Drosophila melanogaster: one gene and its partners. The protein of the gene in region 4 interacts with the protein of the main gene of each other region in a pairwise test. Each region holds a gene or a part of one and is shown on either strand. Other genes may lie near its edges. The genes, in order: ERp44, koi, CG8159 and mael.

Region 1 (6,349 bases), on a different chromosome or scaffold from region 4:
GCCTGTGTATTTGATGCACAAGATCAAGCCACTGCAGAAAAACTGGACATCGCTCGTTAACTTCATCGGAATTGGGACCATTTCCAGAGCGATCGGCGAATTTGTGTCCAAAGTTCAGCCATTCACGCTCGACAAGAACGCGGAACCCCTGCAAATACAAGCAAGTAGGTAGAGTATTAGTCCATAGAACACAAATGTTGATGTATATCAACGTACCTCAACCGTTCTGTAGTAGGGATCCAAACATAATTGCGCCGTGGCCACGATCTGTGGAGTGCGATCCCAACCGTCTGAGCAATGTACAAGGACGGGTCGTCCATTCTTCTCGATGGTGTGCACAACGGTCATGGTGGCTCCCAGCAGACCCGACAGGTGCTGCATCCACATGGTCTTTTCCAGTTGTCCGTACCAGCTGCAAGAATATGATTCCATTACATAAATATATATATATCTTTAATAATCAGCTAGTAAACTTACTTTGGATCATCGGGGGATGACGCGCATAGCTGTCGGACAGCGTGGAAACTCTTTCGAATGGCGTGGATGTTGCCCAAGTTCATAAACTCAATCTCTGCACAGGGATAGTACTCGATGCACTCACAGCCGCCACCTCTGGCACGATTTGTAACTGCGGAGGTGTAGCTGCGAGCATCCACAATGAGGATTTTCTGAAAGCAAATACAATTTAAGAGCAATGATCAAATTATTTCATTAGCACTTGGCGGTTTTGACATCATTTTACTGCTCCGTGTTAAGTAATTTATGATAATTATTCATGAATGTTTTCTTATATGGTAACTGAAACCTTCATTTCAAGAATACCCGGCTATTTTGGTAATAAACTTACCTTGATTTCATCCAGCGTGAGTTCCTCATGCGAGGAATCGTCCAGAGATGGTGAACTCTTGCCGGATAAGCCCGACTGGCCGTTGGTCTCCTTGGAGCCCTTTGTTGGTTGCGCCTTTGCATTGGCGCAGGTGGAATGCCTGGCGTGCTCGCCCCTGTCAAAGGCACAGGCATCGGCGAGTGCCTTGAGTAGCTGCTCGTCCCTTGTGTTGCGCCAGCCGAGCCAACCGACCTCCGGCTGGCTGCATCGGGCCAAGATGGCACCCGACTTTTGGTGCCGCCAGACGACAGCCGGCAGCCTTCGTGATCCCCGGAAGTTGGCCACGTTGTGGAGCATCTCATCGGTGATACAGCAGGGCACAAGCAATTTGGGTGGATACGAGGGACAGAGCTTAAAATCGGCATTGGCCGTGGAGATGCGCCACGAGCCCTTCAGATCGAATCCCAAGCGGGCAACCTCGTTCTTAAAGTCGCTTTCATAGCGCACTGATCGTTGCAGGCGATTGCTCATGGCGGCTGAGATGGTCTCGCTGGCAGGATCGGGCAGAGGATTCGACGCTGTGACGTTGGCTGTTGGCTTTGCCAAGCCATTGTGTAGCGTTAGGCAACGATCCTTGGCAATCAGGCCGTTTCCGTTGGCCTGGGCGCTAACGATACCGCTTCCATTGCCACTTCCGAGCACATCGCAGGTCCAGGAGTAGAAGGGAAAGGCGAAGAGTGTCTCCAGTGACTCGGGAACCCCGATCATCAGATGGATCCGGCGCTGCCAGTCGGAGCACTGTTCCGCCGACGGAAAGGAGCAGCGCACAGTGCTGGCATCCTTACAATTGACAATCAGCTGGAACAGATCTCGCACCTGTACGGATTCGATTAATCCCAATGGAACGTAGGTCTCGTAGCCGGTTGACTGCTTGGAAAGGAATATCCGATAATTGGACAGGGCGAGGATACCATCATCCGTGCGCCCCAGGTACTTAATCGATTCGCCGGCCACTAGTGGTATATATACTATAGATTAGCATGTGTTATCGGTTACAGCATATGGGGGAACACCTACACTCTTGAAACGGGACGAACAGCTGGGAGTCTTCCTTCTCCATTTGTGACTTTGGATACGATTCGGCGGCACGGATAAAGCAAATCGATGGAGGCGGTGATCCATCGGACATTGTGTGAATCGGCTAAAAGAATACTTAACATGTAACGTATTCGAAATTACTTATTTGCTTATATTTAGGCAAGGCGATTTGGGTGTCATTGGAAATCCGGTTATCGCTTATAAGTGCATATATCTCTTATATCCACCATCCGAATACATAATTACGCACAACAGTGTGTGTGCGATGTTATTGGGACGATTCGATACGTATAGTATAGTGGCTCCCATAAATAAATAAATAATACTATGCACATATGTGCATGTGCATTAAGCAGTGCACAAACAAAGCCAAATAAATGTCACTGGGATGATAAATTGGGCACAATCAACACTTTTAGAACAAATCGAAGTTAATATTTGAGTTTTTGAGTGTCGTGGTGGCAATATAGATAATGCACTGCATATATATGCACGTATGGATGTACAATGTACAATGAACATACATTTATGTGAGCACACACAGTTGCAGTTCCACAAGGTGCGCAATATATAGTATGCACATATTTGTGTGTCGCTGCATTACATACGCACGCACATATATACCAATAGACTAGATTATCACGATTTCATAGCCAATAGGCGAAAAATGGCCGATTATCGTACTCAACGTATTCTAATGGCCGTGTATGTTGTCATAAACAAAGTAATTAAACATTTACGCATGTGTATGTTTGCATAAACTCATATGTATATTTGTCTATGTAGGTATGTTTGTGTTTCGATATTTCGGGGAGCAACAATAACACATTACAATCGTACATATGTATGCACACACATTTGGTTTTTGGATTCCACAAACCGTTCGCTCAGCAGACTTTTCGGGGTATTTAGCTCAAAACGTATTGCCGAATTGAAAACGCGCTTGGCTTCTAGATTTTCTCGCTCTATTTACCACCATAAAATCCATAAGCGTCAGCTATTATAAACAAAGATTTGCAAATGTTGTTGCACATACATATGTATGCATATGTATTCATTTAGACACTTTTTGTTTCATTTCCATTGAAATTGCTATCGTTGTTTGCTGCTATCGCTGTTATCGCTGCTGTTAGCGATGGCCAAGTCATGTGACTAAGCTATCGTTACTCGATTGCCGATGAGATGTGCATTCGAGACTAACCAACACTGGCCAGCCGATAAAATCAACCAAAAATTTGTAAAACTTAATAATTGTGCGTACGTTTGCATTCCATTCCAGCTGATGTGTAACTGAAATCAGAAAAAAAGAGAACCGATCGCTTGGACTCTCCGCCGGTGCACGCAATTCTACGCCCACTCCTCGCCAGCCGCATTCGCCATTCGGAAGCCGAACAAGAATGTTTGGAGCCAGAATCGGAATCGGAAAGCTTGGGCCGTGTGTGGCCCTAGTTGCGGTGAGTCGACGTGTTCCGTTCTGTCTGGTCATGTTGCTGGTCACTGGAGTGGCTCACCCGCTCGATCAGCGGGCGGGGAAACAGTGGGGAGGGGCCGGCCAGACAGCCCCGGCTTTTTTTTGGCTCCCCCTAACCAAATAACTAACTAACCAGAACTGACATCCTATGGAATTTACAGATTCTACAGCTACTCCAGTACACACAGCCGGCCGATGCCGCCGGAGCCGTGCCCATGACCAGTGATAATATCGATATGACCCTAGGTGAGATATGCCCATACCATAACCATCACAGTCATCCCCATGCCATTCCCGCTGCCAGCGTGAGCGGGAATCAATTAGCCGACTTGTCCCATTGACGTGTCACTAAACAAAATCACTGGCTCGCTCAATTCGGCACTGCCAACGTGGTAAAATAAGTTTTATGCGCTTTCGTAAAGGACAAGGTGTGGAATTTGGATAAAACTTAATTAGGGCGGTTTATATTTCATGCTGCATCGGTCCGATAGTCCGCCAAAATGGGCACTAGCCATTGGTCGGCAGTTCTTTGCTCAGAATGTCCGAAGTTTGGTCTTTGCATGAATAGGTCCTTTTTATACGGTGTGTCCTGTACACAATCCTGCGGTAATACTATATTGTTTTTTTAAAGTTATTTTTTTTTATTATCCAAACGTTAACTTTTACAGTAAAGCCTGGCCTTAGGCTTGCACCCCTTAAATTTTAACTTTCGGAAGTTATGGAATAGTAGGATGCTAGAAATTTCTTGACTTTAATATGTATATTCAGCGACAAATTTAAATATATTCCATAAAAATACATATGCATTTAAATTATTAATACATAAACCCGTAATTCAATATTGATATAAATATATTACCAAATATATGTTTTTAAAAGTTATTATATTTAGTATCTGAACGGAGTTGTATTCTACGCATCAACAATTTTACACACAATTTGGTGCCTACATTAAAAACACGTTTTGTTTTCTTGCAGCGTCTAATGAATTGGTTTTCCTTAATTTTTATGCGGAGTGGTGTCGGTTTAGTAATATTTTAGCACCTATATTCGCGGAAGCTGCAGATAAGGTGAGTCAAATGGATCGCCAGTAAAAGCTTACAAACAATGCGATACATTCATATACATTTTATATCGAATAAATACGTGGCATTCAATCGAATTTCTCTTACAGATTAAAGAGGAGTTTCCAGAGGCTGGAAAAGTGGTGCTAGGCAAGGTCGATTGCGACAAGGAAACGGCCATCGCGTCCCGTTTCCACATAAACAAGTATCCAACATTGAAAATTGTACGCAATGGGCAGCTCAGCAAGCGCGAATACCGAGGACAGCGTTCAGCCGAAGCGTTCCTCGAGTTCGTCAAGAAGCAGCTGGAGGATCCCATTCAGGAGTTCAAATCCCTGAAGGATCTGGAGAACCTGGACTCGAAGAAGCGCCTCATTCTGGGCTACTTCGATCGTAGGGACCAGCCAGAGTACGACATATTCCGCAAGGTGGCGACAAATCTGAAGGAAGACTGCCAGTTCCACGTGGGCTTCGGAGATGCCGCCCAGGCCATGCATCCACCAGGTGAATTCTATCAAACGCACCAAGTCATGCCAAGCCAATACTGAATGTCAGCTTTTTTGGTCTATTACAGGTACACCTATCATAGTATTTAGACCTGATGTAGCTCTGTCTCATGAGAACGATGAGACCTACACTGGCAGCCTACAAAATTTCGATGAGCTCAAAATTTGGGTCCAAGAGAAGTGTGTACCCCTGGTGCGGGAAATAACATTTGAGAATGCAGAGGAACTTACGGAGGAGGGTCTGCCGTTCCTAATTCTCTTCCACCACCCAACCGATCATAATTCTATCAAGGATTACAAGTCGATCATTGAGCGTCAATTGCTGGATGAGAAACGTAAGATGAATCATCGTGTTGTTTACTTTGCATATAAGCATTTGGTTTGACATTGTATTTTCGAAATTTTGCAGAGAACGTCAACTTTTTGACCGCCGATGGCAAGCGATTCGCGCATCCTCTGCACCATCTGGGTAAATCCGAGGATGACTTGCCCTTGATTGCCATCGACTCGTTCAAGCACATGTATCTGTTCCCCCACTTCAGTGACATGTACTCGCCGGGTAAGCTGAAGCAGTTCCTTCAGGATCTCTACAGTGGCAAGCTGCACAGGTAATTGTTATACAGCCGCCTTTGCTAACACCATGGGGCTCAATTACTAAACGGTCTGCTGCTTTGCTTTCCAGGGAATTTCATTACGGGCCGGATCCCTCAAATGATATTGAACCTGACCCACACACTGGCAAGGGTACATCGCCACCAGAGTCCAAATTCAAGGAACTTGGCCCATCCAAGCATCGCTACACCCTGCTAGAAAAAGATGAACTGTAATATAATAATAATAATGTATATTGAAAATAAAAGAAAATAATACAAAAATGTAATAATGAGCAACCTTCTCTGAAAGCAGATCAGCAGGTGAGCGGTTATCCATGCAAATAGCGGGCGCAGCAGCCTCAATTCTCTTCAATGCAATTCTAAAAATAAAAAGTCTGGATTTAACCACCTTTGTTATTGCAAAAAGAAACAGTTGCTGAATTATCCACAAATTGCACGCGTCACTTTTCAAGTTTTCCTCGTTTTGTTGTTAAAAATTACGCTGGAGATTTCGGCGAGGCGAACTTATTGAATTCTTTGGAATCCCCTTCTTAGTCAGCTAAGCTGGAAATGAATGATGTCAACTTCCGAATTCAAAGCAGTGATTTTGATTTTCTCTATATATATATATATATACACATATATATGAGCTATATATGTATACATATATATATGTTTATTCGTATGTACCATGTTACAGTTACAGTTGTTAAATTAGATTACATAATTATATAATATAATTCAGTCAAAACGAGCGATAACCGTGTGTGTGTTGGGATAAAAATCGGTTC
Region 2 (7,844 bases), on a different chromosome or scaffold from region 4:
GATGGGCAATCAGGGCACTCCCATTCATTTAGGGGGCTGTGGGTGAGGTCTCGTCGTTCATCTGAATGTCGTCGGCGGAGTAAAAGTCCTGGGTTACCGGGATGACGCGGTCGTTGGTCTCGTCATCCTCCTCATCGTGACTGTCCGTGTCCTCGCTGTCGTCGTTGGCTGCACAAGGGCAATTGGACGTAAAAACGATAATGGTAATCCGAATGCAGTGTCCTGCCGTACTCACCATCCTCGTCGTCGGTCTCAATTCCGGGTATGGTGAGCATTTTGCCCAGCGGCTGCAGATCTGTGCCGGCCGTCTTAAGGGACTCTCGCTGTACGGTTTAAGTTTATAACAATTTATACAGAAAGCGGTGTCTGGAGAGAACTCACCCAGTTGCTCCTTTCATCCTCATAACGCCGCGTCTGCGATTCTTCGTTTACGGAGGCAGGAGCCATGTCCAACCAGTAGCGATTGGCCACGGAGACTTTGAGCGTGGGAAAGAATGGAATCATTGACATTTTCGACGGAATCTTGAATGCGCTGTTTTCAATATTTGTTGTTCTTTCTCTGGAAGCCTTTGATGCGATCTGGCAACGCCGCAACATACGCTGTAAATAATACCAATTTTACAGGGGCGTAGTCGTAGGGGCGCATTAAACGCAAATTACAATATTAATTGTAATTGTAATTCATCAATCTAACTATGTATTTTGTTATTGTCAAGGGAAGTCCGATAACCAAGGGCTTAATACAGCTTACTCAAAAATATATATCTTCACTATTACAAATTGACCTTAAGAATCAGAACATAACCAAAACGAATAATATATATTATTCAAAATCTTTTTATTTATTAAAGAAGCTATAAAAATTGGACAAACTAGACACAGGAACGGTATTCCCTTGCAGTTTTATTGGTAGTAAAGTTCCAGATTCATGCCATCGTGAATTTCATCTAAGAAAGCGAAAAAGAAATGCGGGTAAAGCAAGGCGTTACAAGGACACTAAACAAGGGCTTACAGTCAGATAGGCGAATCGGGTCCTTGAAGATTGTGTACCACTTCTTCAGGACAATCTTCTCGTGCTTTGTGCCCGTTTGTGCCGCGATTAGTTTCTTGAGGTCCCCAATCGTGTCGTCCGGGTTGCACTTGACGCGCACCTGTGGGTTAATCGTTGGTTAACGATGCTTGCAGTTGCCTTGGGTACTTAGCTGCTTACCTTCTTGCCAAGACGATCGTTACACGTTATTTCTATCATATTTTATGGCTTTGCTAGACAAATCACAACAATAAATTCTTGATTTGTTGTGGTATTATTGCTTAGGGTTGTCAAATACCCTTTACCGAATACCGAGTGGTTTGAGGGATCGCTAATTGTCCGCAATGCTATCGATATTTTATTTAATTTTAAATATGTTTAAATAACAATCATATAGAAAGTCGAAGTTAAAGATATCAGAAGTCTGAAAGTATACTTAGAAAGCTCAATTGCTTGTCATGACGCAAATCTATCACATCCTTGTAAAACGATAATATTTGTTAACAAATTTATATTTAAATTTCAGTCTTCTTCTTAGTTATCAAGCCAGAAGTCGAATGTTTCGGCGTTAATAGAAAAATAATGTATGTTTGCATATTTGCACACCTCATTCAAATTATTTTTCTTTGTTGAACAAAAGATAAAAGTGTAAAAATTAAATTTTTTATTCTTGACCCATTATTTCTCTTGGTTAATGAAAACAAATTCCGTTTCTCAACGTTCCCTTTAATAATCCATGTGAACAATCGATAGGCGGCGAAACATCGATGATTGCTAGAATAATCGATGTGTCTTCCCCGTTCATTCGAATTTTTTCGCCGCTCGGAATAGACGTGATTTTGCCGTCGTGACGGTGGAGGCTATTTTTAAAACGGTCGCGGCGCTTGCAAACAAAATTCATATCCAGCTATTCAACGGAGGAATTCATTAGTACGGCAGTACAAGAAATATTACTAAGTATGTCACATATTTGCGGGCAAACTGCCGAAAGCACTGTGCGGAGTTTTTGTTTGTGTGCGTGCGTGCCTCATTTTTACATTCACGTACATACATATGTACATATATGTACGCTATGACGCAGCTGTGGAAAACTTGTTTGGGTTTCCATTTCACCGAATCACGGAATCAACGAATATTTGCGCCTGTGCTGCGAACTCATTTTGGGCAGTAAGCCATTGTATTGATTATCGCGCGTTGTTTGTGGATGGCGTGGTCCGCCGGAGCACCCTGTAGCGTCTACATCCCTACCCCGCTCCCTGGAGTCCGATATCTGTGCGCGAAAGGCCGGGCGGGCGTCGTTTTCGGCTATGTGGCCCAACACCAATGGATCCCCACGGTCACTGGCAGCAATTCGCGATCCGAAATGCTCCGCCCTATTTTTAGACGCGGTCTTTGCGGCCTGCCTACTTACCTACCTCCCCAATGCATTCTAATTAAAAACCGGGCACTGCGCTCATTTCCACACGCATTGCATTGCATAATGCGGCATTAATGTGGCGGGGAAAGCTCGCTTCGGAAAGCACTCGAGCATTGAAGTGAAGAGACCGAATGTTTTCCAGCTGCCCAATTGTAAACAACCCACGCCTAGCACGCACACACACGCACACGCACACACACACAGACTGGTTTTAATGTTTACTCCAAATAAATCGTTGCCCATGTTAATTATTTGTGTCTTCGCAGGGCCCGAGCACTGGAGGGAATCTAATCATGAGCGAAAATACATACCAGATAGAAACGCGTCGGCGGTCGCGTTCCAAGACCCCCTTCCTGAGATCGAGCTGCGACCATGAGAACTGTGAGCACGCCGGAGAGGAGGGGCATGTGCACCACCTCAAAAGGAAATCGGCGGCCCCCAATGTGCAGTAAGTATCTGGGATACTCCCGAAATAGGCCTACGGACGAAGCCCTTTATCGCGAACCCATAACATTATTTTTAGCCCTTATAAGTAGTAAAATTGTAAGCATACAATATGTTTACGGAGTTCGAGTCAATTTCATTTTGAGAATTAGGAGAATTCAGTTTAAACTCTATAATTATTTCCTATTTGGTCCTGAGTCACCTTTTTCTATACTGACCATTGGTTTCAGTAAGCAAGTTGGACTGTAGTAAGACACATCCATAGCGACTGTATGTTTGTATGCCGTGTGCTGCCGCCATGACGTCACCTTTTTGTTATTCACGCTCGCCGCGAATTTGAATTTCGAAGCGGGTAGAAAACGAAGGCAAAGCCGCATACAGGGTGCAGCATCTGGTCGAGCTTCGTTAGTTTTTGGCGCCTATTTCGAGAGCGCCTGGTCGGTCTGATGATCAGTCTTCAAGACTCGATGACGACATTCGGAGTCCAACGTCGGCCGTCAGAAATCGTTTTCACGTTTTAGCCTCTAAATCGAGCATGCTGGGGTGGGCTAACAGTCGTTTGCGCTGAAGGCCAGCGGCGGTTATAAGCATATTTTTGTGTTTTTGTTTTGATACGTTGTACTCGTCGTTTCAAACGATTCCGAGCACGTTATCACGGACTTACTGAAATATTTTTCCCAAATCTTACCTCTTCTCTGCAGAACGATAATAGAGGAGCATATAGTGGAGTCGAGTATCAGTAAGAAAACCCGGGCAAAAGCGTTCGCCCAGCTGACCTCGGACTATTCGAGCGACGACATGACTCCGGATGCCAAACGCAAACAGAACTCGATCACGGCCACAGTCACGTCGATTCTCACCAAGCGATCCGGCGGCGCCACATCGACACCGCGGAACAGAAGCCAGCTGGAGACCACACAAAACACGCTGAATTCCGCCCAGGAAAAGCTAAACCAATCGAACGGTAACCTCAGCTCGGGAAATGTCAGCGATTATCTGGCCTACATCGAGTACAGGGATGCTGGTGAATACTGGAAGTGAGTGAATCATTTCTACACATTTTAAACAGTATACTAATGATGCTATTTTGCAGCAAAACTCCCAAGACGGACTATACCTACTCAGAACTGTCCCCTCACCGACGCCAGTTGGCGCCAGGAATTGTGGCCATGCCCAATATGTCCAGAAAGAGCCTAGAGAACCATAACGATCGAGTCAACTACATGGTCCAGCAGAACCCTGCGCAAGAGGAGTTCATCCGCCGCCGCTACCAGTCCAAGTATACCCAGCAGGTTAACTATGACTCCGCAGATGAACTGGACGCCACATTTGGGCAGCAAAAGCAGAGCTGGTGGCTTATCCGCCTCATCCAACTGGTTGTTAGCAGCATTACCACCGTGTGGAGTCGGGTGACCAATCTCTCGGCCACGGAGACGACTGCCTATCAAAACTACCACGCTAAGCGCCAGCAGAGTCAACAAGTTGGACTTTGGTGGAAAATAGTACAGACCATCGGAGGAGGACTTGCAAGTTTGCTGCGCTACCTGTATGTTTTCATCGGATCGGTGCTGAGTTTGGACACGTGGTTGCTGCGATCCTCGGATGCGGAAAACAAGTCGAAAAAGCGCTTCCTCATATTTCTGCTGATTTTGTTGCCCTTGCTGCTGCTGTCGGGTGAGTAGGATTTAAAGCACCGTCCGATTTTTGATGTAAAGTAAAATATGTTAGAGCGTGTGCCGTGACCTTGTACCGGTTCGAGAATTCATACTACATGCATATAGATCACCTCCAGTCGTTGTATTTATAAACTCGTCTGGTCGTTGGCAGTCGCGTGACGCCATCGATAATTTGTTAGTAAAATCCCGCGGATCAGATTTAAGTGGCCATGTGATGACATATTTTATTTTCCATTCACCGTCTGCCAAGGTTAAACGCCTAATTTGCTTTGCCTTTGCAGGTCTGTTCTATTACATACACCCCAATGAAACTTTCCCACCCAAATCCCTGTCCGAATACACATTCACCCTACCTGAGTTGCCCAAAATCGATGTGAAAGACTACCTGAACCAGGAGCAGTTCGAATCGCTACGCTCTCAGGCCGCCGAGCATGCGGTCCGCGTTCGCGATTGGGCCGACGACTACGTTTTGTACTTGAGAACCATCGGTCAGAACGTGGTCAACAAGGGTCGTCAGTTATTTCAGGGCGATGATAAAGTCTATTATGAGCGTGTGTAGGGAACATCTGCAATGGGCAGGCTACAGCTACCAGATTTAGTGATCTGGTTGGGTGCAACGCCCCTTGCACTTAGACAAATATGAGAAACTTTCTTTATGAACAATATGAGTACAAAATAAAGCATTTGATCCGTTTTTTGTCCGTCTGCTTGACCCGCAGTTTTGCGCACTTACTTTATAGTTTTTCGTCCCGTCATTTACCCACTTCATAGGCAAACCCACCTCTCATACCCCACCATACTAACCGACACAATTCCCAACAAAATGCAACATCACAGGCTGATGGGAGAAGGATAGAGCTCGCCGCTGTTCAAATTGTAAAACTTTCGTAATCGTTAACTTCATTCTTGTCCAACAATTAGGGCCGTTATCCGTCTGGGTTAGTGCCCTAACTAAATCTTACTTGTTGTTAAACAACGTTTAATTGTAATTTGTGCACTGTTTGCTTTGTAATAGTCTATACAAAAATAAATCGCAAACAATTTCATATGAAACATCAAGTACAAAGAAGAGTTGTTTGTTTTATTTGCCATTTGTTGGAAGTTCGCTAAATGGTAAGTAAGATGTAAACAAAGCAATATTAGTTGGCCAGAATCGAACTCTATCCTTCTGCATTTGTGTTGGAATAACCCCAAAAACGAGTTCCCTGTTACCTCAGTCCGGTTGATAATTGAAGTTGGTAGGGACTGTAAATGTAGAAGGATTGCCAACTAATAGTGCTATGTTTAATTTTCTCCTTCCCCAGGATGGTTGCTCTTGCAGGAGGATCAACGTAGTGCTTACGTTCAGCGTGCGGAAGCACTGTTGCCGCTGCCACTATCTATTTTCGGCTCCCTACGTAGTCGATTTTCAAATGCTGGAGCCACCTTGAAAAGTTGGATGGAAGTGCCCACCGTCAGGAGTCCCCAGCGGGAAGCCGAGGCCATTAAGGTAAACATGGCCAGCATTGAACAGAACATCCAGAAAGCCTTGACTGCCGAGGAATACGAAAATATCTTAAACCATGTAAACAGCTACGTGCAGCAGTTGGTCGAGCTGAAAATGCAGCAGCATTCCAAGGAGCTCGCACCGCAACAGATTGAACTCTTTGTTAAGCTGATGAAGGAAAACCTCAAGCAGATTATGTACAAAACGGAGCTAAGCGAAAAGGATTTGTCTGATCTGGCCATAAAACTGAAACTGGAGCTGCAAAGCTCAGGCGGTTGGCAAGATGGAGCGAAACTATCACAAGCTAACTTAGAGGAGATAACCAAGCTAATTAAAGCAGAGGTTCACCTCCACGAATCGCACTACACCATTCAATTGGACAGGATAGACTTTGCATCCCTGCTGGAGCGTATTCTTGCTGCGCCAGCATTGGCAGACTTTGTAGATGCTCGAATAAGTCTTCGGGTGGGAGAGCTCGAGCCAAAGGAGAGTTCCGGTTCCTCAGATGCAGAAGTCCAAATTGAGCGTCTGAACAGGGAAATCGCCTTCATTAAGTTGGCTCTCTCTGACAAGCAAGCGGAGAACGCCGATCTGCACCAATCAATCAGCAATCTGAAGCTCGGCCAAGAGGATTTGCTGGAACGCATACAGCAGCACGAACTTTCCCAGGATAGGCGCTTCCACGGGTTGCTGGCTGAAATAGAAAACAAACTGTCTGCGCTTAACGACTCGCAGTTTGCTCTTCTCAACAAGCAGATCAAGCTATCCCTTGTCGAAATTCTGGGCTTTAAGCAATCCACCGCTGGCGGTTCCGCTGGCCAATTGGATGACTTCGATCTGCAGACCTGGGTACGCAGCATGTTTGTGGCCAAGGACTACCTGGAGCAGCAGCTGCTAGAGCTGAACAAGCGCACCAATAACAACATTCGCGACGAGATTGAGCGTTCGAGCATCCTGCTGATGAGCGACATTAGCCAACGACTCAAACGGGAGATTCTTCTGGTTGTGGAGGCCAAGCATAACGAGAGCACCAAAGCGTTGAAGGGCCATATCCGCGAAGAGGAGGTGCGCCAGATAGTCAAGACGGTGCTAGCTATTTACGATGCCGACAAGACGGGCCTGGTGGACTTCGCCCTGGAGTCGGCGGGCGGCCAAATCCTTTCCACGCGTTGCACTGAGAGCTACCAGACAAAGTCAGCCCAGATATCGGTGTTTGGAATTCCACTCTGGTATCCCACCAACACGCCGCGGGTCGCCATTTCACCCAATGTGCAGCCAGGGGAATGCTGGGCATTCCAAGGGTTTCCCGGATTTCTAGGCAAGTCGCGGGTAAATAGTAATTGCTAAAACAGTCCTTATAGTTTTCTTCCCACAGTGCTAAAGCTCAACTCGTTGGTGTACGTCACTGGATTCACCCTAGAGCACATACCGAAGAGTCTATCCCCCACAGGAAGAATAGAATCAGCTCCTCGCAACTTCACTGTCTGGGTAAGTTTGACTAAGGGTGAAAGGAAGTGGTGCATTTCTAATACGACTTATCCATCAACTCAGGGCTTGGAGCAGGAGAAGGACCAGGAACCCGTATTGTTCGGCGATTACCAGTTTGAGGACAATGGTGCTTCCCTCCAGTACTTTGCCGTTCAAAACCTGGACATCAAACGGCCGTACGAGATCGTCGAACTGCGGATCGAGACGAACCATGGCCATCCCACCTATACATGCCTCTACCGGTTTCGCGTGCACGGCAAGCCGCCGGCCACATAAATCTGTTCAAATCTCTTCTAGTGACCT
Region 3 (3,756 bases), on a different chromosome or scaffold from region 4:
CTTAAGATTGATCCTAACTAATCCGCTTCATTTAAGATTCTGTGAGGATCGCTTCTGCACGCCGGCGGAACTTAAGCGTCACATTCGCAAGCATACCGGGGAAAAGCCCTTCAAGTGCAGACACTGTTCCCGCAGCTTTTCTGACTACAGCACTCGGTTGAAGCACGAGCGGACTCACACTAACGAACGACCTTTTGTCTGCAAGGAGTGTAACAATGCCTTCACAACATCCTATATTCTTAAGAACCACATGCTCGTGCATACCGGGGAGAAGGCTTTTAGGTAAGCGGGTACTCGAAATAGTACTTAAGTGTAATAATAATAATCTATTCTATTTGCAGGTGCGACCTCTGCGATAAGTTATTCAGTCGCTACACACACCTTACTACCCATTATCGTTCAAATGCTCACAGACGAAACATGCAGAAAGCAGACACAATCTTTGATAAACCCTAAAAGGTATCACTTAAGAAGCTCTTAGTTGAAAACGGTTGCATTACCAAAATAGGAATTTTTACAAAAAAAATCAAAACGGATAATCAAATTGTGAACTATATTTGGCTTTAAAGGTTGAGATGGACTCATTAAGGTCTAGTTTGTACTATACATTAGAGTGGATGTTTCCAGAGCAGCCAGGCCCAAAGACTCATCCTGCTCCTGCTCCGCGGGCAAAGGCACTTCTATCGTAAAGGCATCCGCCTCTGCTTCTGGCTCCTTTTCCGTCACGAATTTGACCTGATCCGCTGACTGGGATGGTGACAGCTGAACTCCACCCGCGTCTGCCATCGATTTCTCCAAGTTGTGCTTATGAGTGTTAGAGCGGAAGTGAGTCTTCAAGTGGGTGGGTCGCGCAAAGGATCGATGGCACAGCTCACATCTGCAAAGGATCGGCTAGGTGATCATTAACTTAAGCACTATTTATCATAGTTTACTAGCCTGAACAGGCGCTCGCCCGTGTGGATAAGCATGTGGTTCTTGAGGATGTAGGAATTGGTAAAGCTCTTGCCGCACTGCGCACAAATAAAGGGTCGATCATTTGTGTGGGTCCGCTCGTGACGCAGGCGACCACTGTAGTTGACGTAGGTGCGGTCACAGTAACGACACTGGAACTTGCGATCTCCAGTGTGCATCACTTGGTGTCCTTTCAGCTCACCGGAGGACAGGAAGCGGGCGGGGCAGAGTCTACATGAGAGCAATGTTACACAGTTAACTATCAGATTGTACAATTGACGAGCTAAAGCTTTTCTTACTCGCACTGAAAGGGCCTAATTCCGCTGTGTTTGCGTAGGTGACGGTCGAAGGAGGACTTCCCTGTAATATTGTTGCCGCACTGATCGCAAAAGAAAACTGGAAGCGTAACCTTTGTGCGATTTTCACCTTTCCCGCCTTTCTTAAGTCCCCGACGTCGGGTTCTTTTCAATCTGACCGGTGAGGTAGTTCCATCATCTTCGGTAGAGCTGGACATCGCTTTAATGGCCAGCTCCATGTCTGCTTCGTTGCAGGAGTCCAGGTGATCGATGCCATCATCCTCCTCATCGCCATTGCTCAGGCTCTCCAGCTTAATCATTACCTCCAGCGGACTTGCTGGCGTCTTTGGAGCGGTGTCTTCATGCCGCTGTCTTTGGGAACGGGCACTGCGACGAACTGAGGAGCGGAATGTGTCCTCTTCATTCCTGACCAGCGACTCTTCAAAGATCTTCTGACTCCTCAAGCAGCGATCACGAAAGGATATGGCGCTTTTCAAATCCGTCTGGCAGGTCTCGCACATCCAGTCGGGTAAACCGGGTTCGCATTGCAGCTGCCAAATAAGATACAACATTTTAATTGAAGGAATTAATGTGTTTCGTAGGGTAGGCTTACCAGAACACCGGTGAGCAAATTGATTTGTTGCAGCACTTTGCAGGCGCCGCTGTTAAATAGTTTCAACGATTTCGAGTTGTCCGTGCTGCTGGCACACACGCGGCACACATTTTGCAGCATTTTACCAGCTTACTCGATTCTAATTAGTAAATTTCCAATTGTAAACAAGACAGCCACCCAAAACTGATTTGCCATTTGCCACGAAGCAGCGCACTAGCTTTTCCACCTGAGACGTTGTCCAGCACTGGCGACTTATAAAACCACTAAATCGTAACGGCTGCTACTAATTAAAATCAAACAATCTATACAAATTTTTTGTTTTCTGTGTCCTACACACTTAAAAGCATTAGCATTTATTTCATTTTGAGAAACAGGTGTGGTGCAAATATTGAGTATACAACTTAAATTCATAAAAATACGATAAGATAAAAATAAGATAGTCCCCTTTTGGGTATCTTTTTATCTCAAGGAGCATGTAAATCTTATTATTTCATAGCTTGAGCTATTTAATCCTTCATGACTTCTGCTTCTTGACATTTTGGAGGTGCATCATGGATCTGGTGTGCGTTACCAGGTGCGCCTTTCTCTGGAAGGAGCGATCGCAAATATCGCATCGGAAATTCCTCTCGCCCGTGTGGATGACCATGTGGTTCTTTAGGACGTAGGCAGTGGTGAACTTCTTGCCACACTCTTCGCACACATAGGGTCGATCGTTGGTGTGAGTCCGCTCGTGGATCAGCCGGCCCATGTAGCTGACATACCGCTTTTCGCAGAAGCGACAGGCAAACGGTTGCTCCCCAGTATGTACCCGGTGGTGGGCACGTAGTTCGCCAGCAGAGAGAAACCTGGCATCACAATCCCTAAAAAGAGAATATGGAATCAGCATACCGAACCTACAGTTGTAATCTGTGAGCGAGGTTTACTTGCAGCCAAATGGTCGTTCGCCTCTGTGTTTTCTCATGTGGCGCTGGAAAGTGGGTTTCGATGTGGCATGAGTCCCGCACAGCTCGCATATGTAAATCTGATCATCCAGTTTGGTTGATACTTTGATAATCTTTTGTGAAGGTACACACTTCTCATCTATTCCATCTTCCCTCAGCTGCGCTTTCGCATCTCTATTCAGAGTTTTGTCCATGGGCTCCTCTTCAATCAGTACCTGAAAAGTTTCTTCAACCAACTCGCCTTCTTTCTTTTTCCCAAAATCGCTGAATGCGCATTTTTCCGATTCCAGTTCCGAATTGTCATTGGTATCTTCATCACCCGACGAAGAGTCGTCCTCGATGGTTAGCCATTTAGTTTGGGTCTTAATGCAAAGCTTCCGGAATGCCAATGCCGATCTGAGTTCCGCCTGACAGCAAAGGCACATGAAACCAGGAACATCGTCCAAATCCACCAACTGGTGCTGATATTATTTATCTCAATTTTAAAACGTCTTTTAACTCACTCTTAGTCCGCTTATCATGTGCAAGTGCTTTAGATATTTTCGGTTGACCAAATCGAAGAGATTCAGGCTCTTCTCACAGATTTTCTGCCTTCCGCAGACTCTACACACGATGTTCAGCATCTCGATCACTAAACTCGACTGATGGAAAGGCAATTGTATGGTGATTACATTTTGAGGCAAACCAGATAAATTATTCATTCAAGGCGGGGATTTTTGAAAGTCAAAATCTTTATTTAAATAGCTATTGATCTGTTAACAACTGGAGCAGTCTGATAAAACAGATACTGCTTATAATATTAAAACTTAATAATAGGTGTAAATAATATTGGTCAAATCGTTAAGCTGAACCATTTCATGGGTGCTTGAAATAAGTACGACCTGCATGCTAATAATGCGCAGGATCAATTTTTGAAAACAAAACATATAGCTTCATATTTCTGTTTCGGTAAATC
Region 4 (4,424 bases):
AAATTTTCATTCAAGAAAATTTACATACATATTCTACATATTTGGAGTTTTTGGCAATTTTTTTGCAAAATTTCAACAGGGCACTGTGAGCAATACTTTTTAAAGCATTAACATTAATTTCATCAATATTTCAACTTATAAATAAAGTTGCTATCTAGAACTATAATTATTAGTTTTGTAATTTAAAACATAAATTTAACAAAATGAGAAAATACATATTTAAAAATATATTTTGTAAAAATAATACAAACATACATAGTTAAAAGTTAATATTTATAAAATAAATAAAAATATGCGACCTTTCTATTGTAAAATGTGCACAGATGCACTTGTCGGTTGTCACTGGATGCGTAAAAACAGCTGATGGCTGTAGAGTTCTCCGCCCTCTTGCTCCTAAACAAAAATTAAGAGCAGAATACTTTATATCCACCTTCTACTTCCTGAATTCTAGACATTTCTTACTGAGAGACAGGCGGCCCAAGAGATCTTAATCTTAATTGCTTGTACCTTTTGAAAGAATCTAGTATAACTTTTACTGGACGAATTCTAGACTATTAAAAATGTGATGATATATCAACACATTTATTAAAAGTGCGATCGTGACAGTTTTATGCGGCTTGTGAGCGCTAGAGTGGGCTTGGCAAAATGGGTTAACAAACTTGCGCTGCATCTTTGTCTCTAAAATCTGTATGCTTAATCTTAACCTTCTACCTTTAATAGTTCCTGAGATCTCGGCGTTCATACGGACAGAAGGACACAGCCAGATCGACTCGGCTATTGATGCTGATCATGAATATATACATATAGTGACGTATTCGGGTGGTCCAAACCGGCCACTTCAATTAAAACAGTATTGCACTTAATTGATTTTCCATAATGTATCCCAGCTGCGCAGCATCCGTTTCTAATAAAGAATTCTTTGGCAGCGGCACTCAGCCGTTCTTGTAAACATCCTAAAACCTGACATAAGCCGATTTGACTGCTCTCTTTGAACCTTCTCCTTATCTTAAGAACCCAAGAGCGAGGCTCTCCCGAGATACAAATATTGTTCAAATAATGAGGGTTCTCTCAATTCAATTTGCATTTGATTTTTACTCTTAAAAAAACTAAAACGTTAAAACTATTTCTCCGATCATTTTTTATTTCTTAGCGTTGTCCTTAGTCAACTGACGGGGCATTTATTCGACTCAAATAAAAAATATAACAACTAATTTTACTATATATATGTATATATTTTACTGTATATCGGAAACGCTTCCTTCTGTCTTTTACATATGTACATTTCAACGAATCTAGTATACCCTTTTACTCTACGGTTAACGGGTATAATAAGTTCTTTCTAAATGATTATGCTTATCATTTTAACAACAACATTTTAACCAAAAACGGTGTGATGACCAAACCATTTTCATATTCAGCATGAATTTACCGATTCAGACAAATCGTTCATACATACAAACAATATTATTACTTTACCATTAAACAAACCATTTCCAAGAAAGAATTTTTCATAGACCTAAAGCACATCGACTTTGTGGGTGGATATACATACATATGTACAATTTTTCGACTCAACTGTTTACACTGTAGTTTTACGAAAGAGAATTTCGATTTAAAAAATTTTTAGTTTTCGATGGTCGACCATTTGATTTATAAATAAGCAGTATTATCTTTAATTAGGCTGCTTTTAACTGCAAGTGCAGTTTATTCATACGATTACAAAGCATGACGATAGATGATTATGCTATTAGGTTTGATTAAACCATTTTTATGAAATATAAATTATTATATTATAAATATAAATTAATTATAAATTTACAAACTCTTATTCCATTCCAGAATCGATAGTTCTGGAATGATACTAGTGCTCAGCAACGCCAAAACAGTCAATAATAGATATTTGAAGTGTCAGCGGAATCGACGTCTGACAAAACAACTGCTTCACTTCATTAGAATTGTGTGATATATTCCACAGACCAGATCATTGGAAGAGAAGTCAATCGTGCGTGAGAGAAGCCAGAAGAGAAGCCACCCGCGACATTCCGAAGTAACCATTTCTGTAGGGTCAGACGTACATACAAACAACATTCATATAAATTGCTCGTGCTGTTCATTGGTTACCGCCTTTAGTCGCTACCTCGCTCGCACACGCGCTCAACACCTACCCTTACCCGTCAAAAATACCGACCTTCTTCTTGCCACGCCCGTAAAGATGGCTCCTAAGAAGCATAGTGGGTTTATGATGTTCGTAAACGAGTGGAGAAACCGGAACGCCGAGGGCCGACGCATGACGCTGGCGCAGGCTGTTTCCCACTGCGGCACCATATGGGAGGTAAGTTTTGGTCGATGCTGCGGATCTACCCTGTAATAAATGAAGCCTTTTCAGAAAATGAACACCCAGCAGCGTGGTCCGTACAACTCAGGCGGCAAGGACGCAAATGTGGCGCAACGCGCCAAAAGGGAAAGTTCCAACGGCCACGGCCAGGTGGACAAGGCCCAAAGGGAGGCCACCGAGAGCTTGATGGACATGAAACGTACCATCGAGCGCCTCGTGCTAAACGCCAAGATGTCCCATGGTAAGTCACACATTTCGAAGACATTTGGATTCGACTAACTCCAATCGCTGCCGCAGATCTGGAGAATGCCAAGTTTGTCTTCGTTGCCTTCAACTACTTCACTAAAGCCTTGACCACCGACGTCTATGTGCCCGCCGAGTTTGCGGCATGCGAATATTCGTTGAAGGAGGGAATCCGATCCATCTACAGCACCATGATTGACCCCGGTCAGATCATTTTTGGGCAAGGTAGCGATGCCCTGCTTCACTCTTCAACCACTCACGACCTGCCGCTGCCGCCCAACGCGCTGGGGGAGAAGAACATGACCAAGCTGTACCGCAACATTGTTGACTACTTATCCAAATGCCAGGGAAAAGGCAAGACCCTAGTAGTCTTTACACCCGCCGAAAATATTACCATGGTGAAGTCATGCTTCCGCTATTTGGAGTGCGATGATGACTTCAGGGACGGGGGCGAAAAAATCCAGGTGTTTGATATCCAGTACTTGCTATTCATATTGAAGAAGGAGGTCATGAATGTCGCTGATTTGAATGACGAGAAAATCAACAAATTCGCGACGGATGCTTTTTTTAAGAAAGACTTTTTCGAGTTTACCGCAGGGATTGCGTGTCAGGTAAGATTCTGTTCCCAATTCTGATAACCCCTAGTTGACTTCCTTCCTGATTACTTTTGCAGTACCACGAGGATAATGATCGAACCAAGTACTGTACCCAGAGTATGGTGACTAGATGGGCGTATACCTTCACTGATTTTATGTGCGGAGACCTGGCCATAACCGTCCAACCCGGAAAGCACATACCTGCCCAAACAAAACCCAACTACCTTATCATAAGCTCGTACGCCTCCTCACTCGACCACGAGTCCTCCTTCGACTCTTTTTATTCGCTTCCCGGATCTGGGGTCAAGAAGGAAAGCCAACCCGAAGCTTGTTCGCTTTCTAGCAGTCGACTTTCCGTCGCATCAAGCTCCTACAAGCCCATAGACCACACTTCCTTTGCCGCAAATTTAAACGAAGTTTCTGAATTCCCCAGCCTCGGCATGCGTAATTCTAGTAAGCATCACGGTATCGCCGCTAGTGCTCAGCGGGAATGGAACGCTAGGAACTTACCGACGCACTCGCGTTTAATTCGGAAGGTTTCAGACAACGACTTCTCCGTAAACGGCGCTGATGGGAAACTTAAAAAATAAGCCACTTTGGTCTATCAATTGGACTAAGAAACAATGATTCCTTATAGATAATTTTCTTATCGCATTAAACTGTACAAATACTATTACTTGTATTTAAAAATAAATTCGTTCAAACGGACAGGGCCAGCATCAAGTATTTATTTATTTTAGTTCTGCTAAATAAATATTTTTAAGACCTAATATGTGGGCAGTAATGAAAGAAAGACATGATATTTTTGATGGCGACAAATTCTAATTAGCTAAGTGGGGCCAAGCTCAAAATAATCTATGTTTATGGTATTCCATGGAAATGCAGTTGTGCCATTAGAAACTGCTCCTATTAAAACCCCTGTTAAATATTGTGCATAAAATTGTTCAACGGGTCATTATAATACAAAGTGCAAAGGCCAAAAAGAGTCGAGTTCATATTCTTACACTTGTAGCTTTTTAAGTGGCTCGACTTGGAGAGGAGTTTTTAGAGTTGCGAGATACAGATGCAATGCTTTGCGGATCTTGCTGAAGCACGAGACGAGTAAAGGCTAAGCTGAGGAGAAGTGCCTGGCCTAGAAGCTCGCGCTGGTAGCGCTCTTGTTGTGAGAATTCGAGGCGTAGGTCAGCGGGAAAGTCGATCTGTTTGTGCAGCTTCAACGGGGGCTCTGTTTCGGGGATCTGATGTTCCAC

What was found.
Region 1: the proteins of mael (region 4) and ERp44 interact in a two-hybrid assay, tested with the Drosophila melanogaster proteins (one large-scale study listed by BioGRID).
Region 2: the proteins of mael (region 4) and koi interact in a two-hybrid assay, tested with the Drosophila melanogaster proteins (one large-scale study listed by BioGRID).
Region 3: the proteins of mael (region 4) and CG8159 interact in a two-hybrid assay, tested with the Drosophila melanogaster proteins (one large-scale study listed by BioGRID).

What each region holds. Positions count from the first base shown.
Region 1 is NC_004354.4:16,293,339-16,299,687, reverse strand, and holds ERp44 (endoplasmic reticulum protein 44), read left to right. Parts: upstream 1-2,027; 5' UTR 2,028-2,046; intron 2,047-2,448; exon of another isoform or gene 2,449-2,605; intron 2,606-2,780; exon of another isoform or gene 2,781-2,897; coding exon of another isoform or gene 2,898-2,912; exon of another isoform or gene 2,913-3,017; intron 3,018-3,100; exon of another isoform or gene 3,101-3,203; 5' UTR 3,204-3,321; coding exon 3,322-3,378; intron 3,379-3,417; exon of another isoform or gene 3,418-3,556; coding exon 3,557-3,641; intron 3,642-4,373; coding exon 4,374-4,465; intron 4,466-4,569; coding exon 4,570-4,963; intron 4,964-5,033; coding exon 5,034-5,300; intron 5,301-5,374; coding exon 5,375-5,573; intron 5,574-5,647; coding exon 5,648-5,792; 3' UTR 5,793-5,835; downstream 5,836-6,349. Other genes in the region: CG3632 (uncharacterized protein), read right to left, coding at 1-148, 217-412, 478-668, 848-1,839, 1,904-2,027, 2,898-2,912.
Region 2 is NT_033778.4:6,809,189-6,817,032, forward strand, and holds the start of koi (klaroid), read left to right. Parts: upstream 1-1,830; 5' UTR 1,831-1,987; intron 1,988-2,599; exon of another isoform or gene 2,600-2,713; 5' UTR 2,714-2,740; coding exon 2,741-2,895; intron 2,896-3,343; exon of another isoform or gene 3,344-3,506; intron 3,507-3,592; coding exon 3,593-3,928; intron 3,929-3,984; coding exon 3,985-4,565; intron 4,566-4,848; coding exon of another isoform or gene 4,849-5,126; exon of another isoform or gene 5,127-5,624; intron 5,625-5,871; coding exon 5,872-7,371; intron 7,372-7,428; coding exon 7,429-7,541; intron 7,542-7,604; coding exon 7,605-7,817; 3' UTR 7,818-7,844. Other genes in the region: CG15237 (uncharacterized protein), read right to left, coding at 29-168, 236-323, 382-510; ubl (ubiquitin like), read right to left, coding at 904-947, 1,013-1,151, 1,211-1,249. UniProt on the Drosophila melanogaster protein: Component of the LINC (LInker of Nucleoskeleton and Cytoskeleton) complex involved in the connection between the nuclear lamina and the cytoskeleton. Is required to nuclear migration in eye and to anchor klar in the nuclear membrane.
Region 3 is NT_033777.3:8,725,152-8,728,907, reverse strand, and holds CG8159 (uncharacterized protein), read right to left. Parts: upstream 2,055-3,756; 5' UTR 1,981-2,054; coding exon 1,861-1,980; intron 1,799-1,860; coding exon 1,251-1,798; intron 1,183-1,250; coding exon 937-1,182; intron 878-936; coding exon 592-877; 3' UTR 538-591; downstream 1-537. Other genes in the region: ranshi, read left to right, coding at 37-282, 342-456; ouib (ouija board), read right to left, coding at 2,375-2,720, 2,784-3,256, 3,305-3,424.
Region 4 is NT_037436.4:22,722,354-22,726,777, forward strand, and holds mael (maelstrom), read left to right. Parts: upstream 1-1,879; 5' UTR 1,880-2,212; coding exon 2,213-2,332; intron 2,333-2,377; coding exon 2,378-2,576; intron 2,577-2,632; coding exon 2,633-3,189; intron 3,190-3,251; coding exon 3,252-3,764; 3' UTR 3,765-3,881; downstream 3,882-4,424. Other genes in the region: CG14450 (uncharacterized protein), read right to left, coding at 4,191-4,424. UniProt on the Drosophila melanogaster protein: Involved both in the piRNA and miRNA metabolic processes. As a component of the meiotic nuage, plays a central role during oogenesis by repressing transposable elements and preventing their mobilization, which is essential for the germline integrity.